Macaca mulatta: one gene and its partner. The protein of the gene in region 1 purifies or fractionates together with the protein of each later gene. This does not show direct contact. Links are inferred from orthologs where the notes say so. Each region holds a gene or a part of one and is shown on either strand. Other genes may lie near its edges.

Evidence for each region.
Region 2: the proteins of PPP4C (region 1) and CCT6A purify together in Homo sapiens (affinity purification with mass spectrometry; 5 studies listed by BioGRID and IntAct, with this or other methods). This does not show direct contact. The link is inferred for Macaca mulatta from reciprocal best matches to the Homo sapiens genes PPP4C and CCT6A.

Annotation. Positions count from the first base shown.
Region 1 is NC_133425.1:28,484,853-28,489,713, forward strand, and holds the start of PPP4C (serine/threonine-protein phosphatase 4 catalytic subunit), read right to left. Parts: upstream 3,387-4,861; 5' UTR 3,348-3,386; intron 3,126-3,347; 5' UTR 3,063-3,125; coding exon 2,965-3,062; intron 1-2,964. UniProt on the Homo sapiens protein: Protein phosphatase that is involved in many processes such as microtubule organization at centrosomes, maturation of spliceosomal snRNPs, apoptosis, DNA repair, tumor necrosis factor (TNF)-alpha signaling, activation of c-Jun N-terminal kinase MAPK8, regulation of histone acetylation, DNA damage checkpoint signaling, NF-kappa-B activation and cell migration.
Region 2 is NC_133408.1:72,124,209-72,128,596, reverse strand, and holds part of CCT6A (T-complex protein 1 subunit zeta), read right to left. Parts: coding exon 4,265-4,388; intron 3,397-4,264; exon of another isoform or gene 3,263-3,396; intron 3,145-3,262; coding exon 2,971-3,144; intron 2,471-2,970; coding exon 2,367-2,470; intron 780-2,366; coding exon 669-779; intron 408-668; coding exon 248-407; intron 150-247; coding exon 67-149; intron 1-66. UniProt on the Homo sapiens protein: Component of the chaperonin-containing T-complex (TRiC), a molecular chaperone complex that assists the folding of actin, tubulin and other proteins upon ATP hydrolysis.

The DNA.
Region 1 (4,861 bases):
TGGGAAGCCAAGGTGGGTGGATCATGAGGTCAAGAGATTGAGACCGTCCTGGCCAACATGGTGAAACCCCGTCTCTACTAAAAATACAAAAATTAGCTGGGCATGGTGGTGTGTGCCTGTAAACCCAGCTACTCAGGAGGCTGATGTAGGAGAATCACTTGAACCTGGGAGGCGGAGGTTGCAGTGAGCCAAGATCGCACCATCGCACTCTAGCCTGGGCGACAAGAGCGAAACTCCGTCTCAAAAAAAAAAAAAAAAAAAAAAAAAAAAAGAAAAAAAGAAACTGAAGCGGCAGGGTCAAGGTTACCAAGCTGGAGAGTGGCTAAATTGGAACCCAGAAGCCCAATTTCCTAAGAATTTATGCCAGCCCCTTCCACAGACCCTGAGTGAAAACCTGAAACCCAGGGAGGTCACATGCAGGGCCCGTGCTCTCGGAAAAGCACCCCTCAGTGCCGGCACGACCCCATTATGGTCTGGGAATCAGGCCCAGATTCCAGCCCCAGTTCTGTCACTTGCAGTACTTCACCAGCCCTATCATGACCTGCCTGCAGTAACAGCTACCAGCGCAGCAGGCCCTGTGCCCAGATACCCGGACTCTCAACTGCATGTCATTATCATTTCAAAAAATCAGAAAGTGACTTGACAAGGGTCATATTGTTTCTAGGTGACAAGGCAAAGATTCATACTGAAGACCACCTGATTCAAAAGCTCAGCTCTTCTGTGCTAGTATTTCTAGGAGCAGCAATTTCAGCTCAGACACTGCGGACCTCTGTGTTTCCACGGGTTTCACCTGCATCTCTGTGCCCTCTGGGCAAGCTGGTGCTCTTGACACTACCAGCCTCAGCCTGGGTCTCTGTTGGGTCCCCAGGAGGCCATAACCAGGTATCAGAGCTGGCCCTGCTTCAGACTGAGCCTTGGCCTAGTACCTCCTAGTTTCACTCAGTTTCAACTGGGCAGGACCCTCCACCCCTCAGTCTTCCATGGCTCCCTGCTGCCTCACACCACACATCAAAACCTAAATGCCTCTGCCTGGTTCTCAGTGACCACGGAGCACAGTCAAAGACCTGGATGCAAAACTAACTTCCCCTCCGACTAGCTGCGTGAGTTGGACAAGACATTATCTACTCAGAGGCTCAGTTTCCTCTGCTATGAAATGGGGCTAAATACTCAGCCCGCCCTGCCTATTCCTTAGGCTGTTGCAAGGAGCCATGGAGACTGAATACATAACTTCCTGCTAGTCTGCAAACTCCAGCATGCTATCCAAGCTTTGCCTACCATCACCACCACGCTGATTCAGGGCCTGTGACGGAGATAAGACTTCAGGGTTAAAGAACAGAGCCACGCAATAACAGGTATAAGTTCCTAAAAATGCCAATCAGGACTGAGGGAGAGGGAAAAACTAAAAACACCGTGGGGCTAGTCTGGTCAGGGACATTTTCTTGAGCTGGCAAAAGAGAAAAGCCACAGACAGGTGGTGAAAAAGAGGCCGACCCTGCTCAACATCCCCTCACAGGCCCTGTCTGGCTGCAGGGAGTCTATGTGAGGCAGGGCCAAGCAAAGAGCCTGAGGGCCACAGATTCAGGACCCAGCTCTGCCACGTCCTCAGTGGGTGACCTCAGTCAAGTCACCAGACCTCTACAAGTCATGGCTTCCTGTGTGATAAAATGGAACAAATGATTCCAACCTCACAGGATTGCTGGGGGGAAGAGATGGACAAAAGTTTTTTTACCAGTACAGGGCCAGGCCAACAGTGGCCCTATAAAGGCCAATGTTTATTGTTCAATAAACATAGGGTAATTCTGCGGGTTCTTCTGCCACAATTCTCCAGCCTGGTAGAAGCCACAATCACACAGTGCCCCAGAGGAGGCAGGTAATAATTAAACCCCTGACTGTTCCCCATACATCTCAGGGCCTCCACTGTTACATTCGTTCTGCTTGGAATGCCCTTCCCTCACTGGCCCTGCCTCCATCAGCTAGCCAAATTATCTTCATCCTTCAAGGCCTACCTCCACTCAAAAGCCTTCCCTGATGGCTTTAACCCATCTCATTATTGCCCTCTTCCAAGAGAAATAGAATACCTGGTGATTATCAAGCACGTATGCTGTACCAAGACACTGTGCTAACCTCATCTCAAGCACCAACTCACTGAACCTTCACAACCATCTTATTAAGTACTATTAACTCCGCTTTACAAATAAAGACACCTTAAGATCACTAACACAGCTAGAAAGTGGCAGAGTTCAGATTCAAACCTAGAGCCATCTCACACTGCAAAACCCAGAGCCTTAACCACTGCTTCATCCTACTTCCCACAGAACTCTGAACTGGCCTCCCTCCCTATCATGCTTAATTTTACCCTAGCTTACTTGCTACGATTTCTCAGGCTCCCACCCTGAACGTGAGTAATCCAACTCCACACCTTTTTGCATTATGGCCTGAAAAAGGACGGGACACTAAGAGCTGGCTTCCGATCCTCATTCCCTACTTGTGGGTAACTTTTAACATGAAAGTTCTCACCTGTAAAATGAGTACAATACCACCAACCTTTAAGGGTTGTTGTAATTAAAGGACTTTTATAAATCACAGGGTCTTTAACTTTCCTGTCTTAAATCTTTGATTTTTGGCTCTTTTACCACCTCCTTATTCGAGGACTGTCCCACAGTTCGGCCCCCCTCCAACAAGCTTCCGACCCCCGACAGATGGACTTGTTTTCTTGAGTTTCCTAAGTACTTTACGTAACATTCTTACTCTACTGGAAACACATCGTCTAATACTTTAAGTGTCTTTATCCGCTCTGTCTTCCCCGAGCAGGCTAGATTTTCCTCGAGGGCAGCGGTTCCATCCTGCTCCTCTCTGGGAAAGCTTCCAGGGCGAGGCAAGCCCAAAGTTCTCAGTTGGGTTTGCCCCAGGACAGAACCCGTGGGCGGCGGCTTGGCCTCCCTTCCCCAGGGCCAATGGGCTCACCTGGCTTTAGCGCACAGGGCCTTGACTTCGCTCTCCTTGATGAGCTCGCAGCGACGCAGCTGCTCGATCTGCCGGTCCAGGTCGCTGATCTCCGCCATGGCCCACCCCCGGCGCGGGTCAGAGTCGGGGCCGCCGCCCCCTCCGCACCGCACAGGGGTCTCCTGGGAAAGGCCAAGACGAGCCCGCGGATCAGAGTGTCCGTGCGGGGCGCGGGGCGGACAACTCGATTCTAGAGCCGGCCCGGCTCCCCCACCCCCGCCTCCCCTCACATCGGCCTTAGGACCCCCCAGCGTCCCACGGCGCGGCCGCAACCCCGCTAACTCCCGTCGAACCCCGCGGTCCCGCGCTAAGGACGGTGACTTAGAGGAGTCTGGCAATATTACCGCCGCTGCGACTCCGGTTCCGGCTCTCCGGCTCCCTGCCTCCCTCTTTCACTCCGCTTTGGGCCGCAGCCACCGCCGCCGCCGCTTCTACTTCCGGCCCCGCCGCGGAAGCAAAGGGAAGCCAGTTCCGCCGCGCGCCGGATGTGGCGTCATACACGCTCCTCTCCCTCCTTCGCAGCGACCGCTGCACCACTTCCCCAACCGCAGATGGGGAAGAAGCTGGAGGATCCCGGTGGCGGCCAGGGGCAGTTTTGTGGGCTCTGTTGCTGGGCGATGTGGAGGCTGTTAGAAACCCTAGAACAGTCACCTCCCCTTTCATTTTATACAAATGTTTTAACAGCTTTCTTTCTTTCTTTTTGAGGCGGAGTTTTGCTCTTGCCCAGGCGGGAGTGCAATGGCACGATCTCGGCTCACCGCAACCTCCGCCTCCCGGGTTCAAGCAATCCTCCTGCCTCAACCTCCTTAGTAGCTGGGGTTACAGGCATGCGCCACCACGCCGGGCTAATTTTGTATTTTTAACAGAGACGTGGTTTCTTCTTGTTGGTCAGACTGGTCTCGAACTGCGTACCTCAGGTGATCCGCCCCCGCCCCCCCTTCGCCTCCCAAAGTGCTGGGATTACAGCCGTTAGGCACCGCGCCCGGCCACAACTTACTTTTTTTTTTTTTTTTTTTTGAGACAGAGTCTCCTCTGTCGCCCAGGCTGGAGTGCAGTGGCCGGATCTCAGCTCACTGCAAGCTCCGCCTTCCGGGTTCACGCCATTCTCCGGCCTCAGCCTCCCGAGTAGCTGGGACTACAGGCGCCCACCACCTCGCCCGGCTAATTTTTTGCATTTTTTAGTAGAGACGGGGTTTCACCGTGTTAGCCAGGATGGTCTCGATCTCCTGACCTCGTGATCCACCCGTCTCGGCCTCCCAAAGTGCTGGGATTACAGGCTTGAGCCACCGCGCCCGGCAACTTTCTTTTTCCTAAATTAGAGACAGGGTCTCTCTCTGTCGCTCAGGCTGGAGTCCGTGGGGCTATCATAACTCACTGTCACTTCGAACCCCTGGGCTCAAACCATCCTCCTGCCTCGGGCCTCCCAAAGTGCTGGGATTACAGGTGTGAGCCACCGCACCCGGCCATCCTCCATTTCAGCTAGGGAAACAAGCAGAGCTGGGGCTAGGCTTTGTAACTTTATTGCACTTTTTAAAAAATGTTACATATTTTTGTTATTTTGTTAGCCTTCCCCACCACAATCCTTGGAGGATCCAACTTTGTCTTTTTAAGTATTGCAGCCCCAGTGGTTAGAATAAGGCCTGGCACCGTAGGCATACATAAATACTTGTTAATACTTTTTCAATGGATGAGGGAATCCCGGTTCGGATCTCTTCCTTTGCCGTCAGAGAAATATTTGCCATGGACAACTTCAGAAGTTACCATATTGGAATCCACTTTTCCCACGCCAAGCCTGTGCCTCAGTCAGCATGACTTCTCTGATTCCAAAATGGTCCCCTTGACATTTCTTAGTTGCTTT
Region 2 (4,388 bases), on another chromosome or scaffold:
TAAATTGTAAGGAAAAATAATCCTAATTCACTTGCAAAATGAGTAAAAGTCAAATTACTCGGATACCTCTCCATATTTCTCCTTTTAGCTCTGCGCAGAGCGACTATGCCTTCTTTTGAAAGAGCATCTAAGGAAAAGGGGTCAATTCCCTATAACAAAAATAAAAATTAATTTCAACATCTTTCACCTTAAAAGCAAAAAGGATGATACATACTATTTAGTTTATACATTGGGTTTTCATTCTCACCTTTTGATTAATAACAACAAATCCTTTATCTGAATCACCACAGACTTTCCTTTTCAGTTCCATTATTTTTTTAACTTTATCTTCAATGAATTTTCTTTCAGCTTTTACGAGTTTTTCTCTCTCTTCTGCACTTTTGTAAAAAAAGCCAGAACTCACTTCTCTATTAAGAAAAAAAAAAAGGTTACAGAAAACAGGGAAACATTCTAAGAAAGTAGCTTCTGAAACTGGTTTAGTCCTAAGATTTAACAGTTCACTAAGCTCGAATCCTGTCCCTTATACATTTTCAGAGACTGTTTCCTGTAACTCCCCCAAACCAATTTGAGCATTATTGTCCTTACAGTGGGAAACAAAGTTTCACAAAAAATAACTCCCCTAAAATACGAAGTTCCTCGATTTCACTGTTAAGGGGCTATAAACTTACGTTTTTTCATACTCTAATGATACGTTACAAGTGAGGACATATGCATCCTCCACCCTTTTCTTCATATCAGGATGCCGTGCTCCATGGTCCAAAACAAGCCCTCTGATTAAGCTGTTCAAAACACACAAAATTACGGTTATTGATTTTCACATGGGTATATAATATGTTAAACACTCAGCTAAGAAGGTATTGATATTTCATGCAGTCACATTTCTTTTTTTTTTTTTTTTTGAGACAGAGTCTCGCTCTGTCGCCCAGGCTGGAGGGTAGTGGTGTCGTCTTGGCTCACTGCAAGCTCCACCTCCTGGGTTCACACTATTCTCCTGCCTCAGCCTCCTGAGTAGCTGGGACTACAGGTGCCCACCACCATGCCCAGCTAATATTTTTTGTATTTTCAGTAGAGACGGGGTTTCAATCTCCTAGCCAGGATGGTTTCAATCTCCTGACCTCATGATCCGCCTGCCTCGGCCTCCTAAAGTGCTGGGATTACAAGCATGAGCCACCGTGTCCAGCTTATTTCTTGAATTACTTGAAGATCCCGTGCTGTACAGAAAAGTCTGCAGAGATAGTCTCACTAGTAGGCTGTCAAACTGTGATGACGTCCTTTAAAAACATGTTTTCTGCCAAGCGCCTGTAATCCCAGCACTTAGGGAGGCAGAAGTGAGAGGATGCCTTAATCCCAGGAATTTAAAACCAGCCCGGGCAACATAGGGAGACTCCATTCTCCACACACACACACAAAAAAGAAAAACACAAACATTTTCTAAGTCTTTGAAAAAAATTTTTTAAATTTCTCTACTACTTCTCATTATGCTTCGTACCTAGCACATCAATAAATGCCAAATGACTGATGTCATTCACTTTTCAGAATCACTCTAACCATAAATATAACATTACATTCACCTTATTTCAGGAGAAAATATTACTAAAAGTAAAAACAATATTCATCTAGCAATTTATCCAGCTTACATCTTCAGGTAAATATACAACATTTTATACCCAAAGATATTTTAAAAATTGCCAACGATTTCACGCCTGTAATCCCAGCACTCTGGGAGGCCGAGGCAGGCGAATCACGAGGTCAGGAGATTAAGACCGTCCTGGCTAACATGGTGAAACCCCTTCTCTACTAAAAATACAAAAAGAATTAGCCAGGCGTGATGGCGGACACCTGTAGTCCCAGCTACTCAGGAAGCTGGAGCAGAATGACGTGAACCCGGAAGGCAGAGCTTGCAGTTGAGCAGAGATTGTGCCACTGCACTCCAGCCTGGGCCACAAGAGTGAGACTCGGTCTTAGGAAAAAAAAAAAAAAAAGCCAACCATATATTGTACAAAGCACCCCTAAATTTCTAAACACAGTTTATTTTTTGTTTTTTTGGGACGGAGTTTCACTGTTGTCACTCAGGCTGGAGTGCAATGGTGTGATCTCAGCTCACTGCAACCTCCACCTCCCAGATTCAAGCGATTCTGCTGCATCAGCCTCCCGAGTAGCTGGGATTACAGGCGCGTGCCACCACGCCCGGTACACCCAGCTAATTTTTGTAATTTTAATAGAAACGGGGTTTCTCCATGTTGGCCAGGTTGGTCTGAACTCCTGACCTCAGGTGATTTGCCCGCCACGGCCTCCCAAAGTGCTGGGATTACAGGAGTAAGCCCCCATGCCTGATCATTAGTATTTCACAGTATTCTACCACCTACCTTGTATCAGTTTCAGATTTATGTTTCATCTCCATGATCTCAATCATGAAGAGATCAATAGGTTCATCTTGTTTTTTAATGGCCAAAATGGAGTCCACTACAGCCTGCAATTGGAGGAGCATAACCATTAAGTAAATTCAATTTGCAGCAGCAGAAACATCTTGCTTTTCCGAAGGTTTCATTTTACAATTATACACTGATTTAAGTCTTTTTCTATGAGCAAACAGAATATATGTAAACAGCAACAACTGAAGCCATTTACATTTCTGAAATCTCAATCTGTAATTCCCAAACATTAACATTAATTAACATTAACAATTCTCCTGTTTCATTAAAAATACTGGTAACTTGGAAGCTTTCTAGTAACAAAATCTCCACTTTACAAACCTTTTAATGAAAGCCTCAATTTTACTTTTATAACCCAGTTACATATACTATTATTTGAATTTCCTCATTTTAGAGACACAAATTAGGTATTATTGCCCCAAAAATGAACCTATACAGCACCTTGTAATTGAAATTGGGAATTATATTCATGTTTCTACTATCAGAGATTTTCTATATAGGTGTATTATACCAGACACAGACAACATTTAATATATACCTCTGTTAAGACATCTGCAAGTTCAGCATGAACTTTAGTACGAAGAGATGTTCTGGCCACATCTATAAGTGTTTCCCTGTCCATCTCTCTGCTTACTTTGACTTCTTCCAAAAACTGAAGGGCCTTTTCCTTTGCAGCTTCAAATCCTTCAGTGATTATTCTGGGATGAAGGCCCTACAATAAACACACATTAACACTTGCATCAAGTAGGTACAACCACAGTTCCTGACAAAGTTCAGTTAATTCCTGAAGGGGTATTCTGGATCATCATACCTTTGAACACGAGGTAATATAATGTGCTGGCTTTCAGAATACATTTAAAAGGATAAATATTCCTTTCAATGCAGAGGAGAAGAACAGGTAATGCTCTAGCACAGGGTCAAAGCCAAGGAAACTATAAAGCACACTTGGGTATTCACTGTGCAAACCACTCTGAATCATTTCAAAATTGACACTGTGTCCCAACCAAGGACTCGCAGATGGTAACATTATTCTATCTTTTCTTTCTTTCTTTTTTTTTTGGAGACGGCGTTTCGCACTTGTTGCCCAGGCTGGAGGCAATGGCACGATCCCGACTCACCACATCCTCCGCCTCCTGGGTTCAAGCGATTGTCCTACTTCAGCCTCCCAAGTAGCTGGGATTACAGGCATGCGCCACCATGCCCGGCTAATTTTTGTATTTTTAGCAGAGATGGGGTTTCTCCATGTTGGTCAGACTGGTCTCGAACTTTCGACCTCAGGTGATCCGCTCACCTCGGCCTCTCAAAGTGCTGGGATTACGGGTGTGAGCGACCACGCTTGGACTATTCTCTTTTCTATAGGTAATCTCAAACTAATTCACATCATTTACTAATTATTTAATAAAGACTGCTCTCTTTTTCCAGGAAATTCTGACAACAGATTCATACTCACTGAGGTTTGTTTTAACCTTGGAACTAGTCAGGGCTTAAAAAAGTGGAATTTATCCAAATATAAGCTTTTGGATGCTTTTTTCCTAACAAATATTCCTAGTCCTAAACATTCCACTTTTAGATCTAAATTATTAATCTACACTAAGGACAGATACAAATCACATAGGCAATGCAACTTCATTACAAAATTATTTTCAGGCCAAGAAAGGTTCCATAACCTGTCCAAGGTCACAATTTGTTTTAGACCAGGACAAAGACCCAGATTTAAGCCCCCTAGTTCTACTGTATGGCCTCAGCTATTAACAGCACATCAATTTGTATAAATAAGTATCAGACACTTCCTATATACAATAAAATATTACAGAAACAAGAGTTGTGCATACTTCAGAAATGTAGAGATCCGCCTGTTTCAGTAGTTCTCCAATGATTAGGACATTGGAAGTCGTACCATCACCAGTTATATCATCCTGGGCTGTTGCTACCTTTGCTATTAAGGAAGCTGTTGGA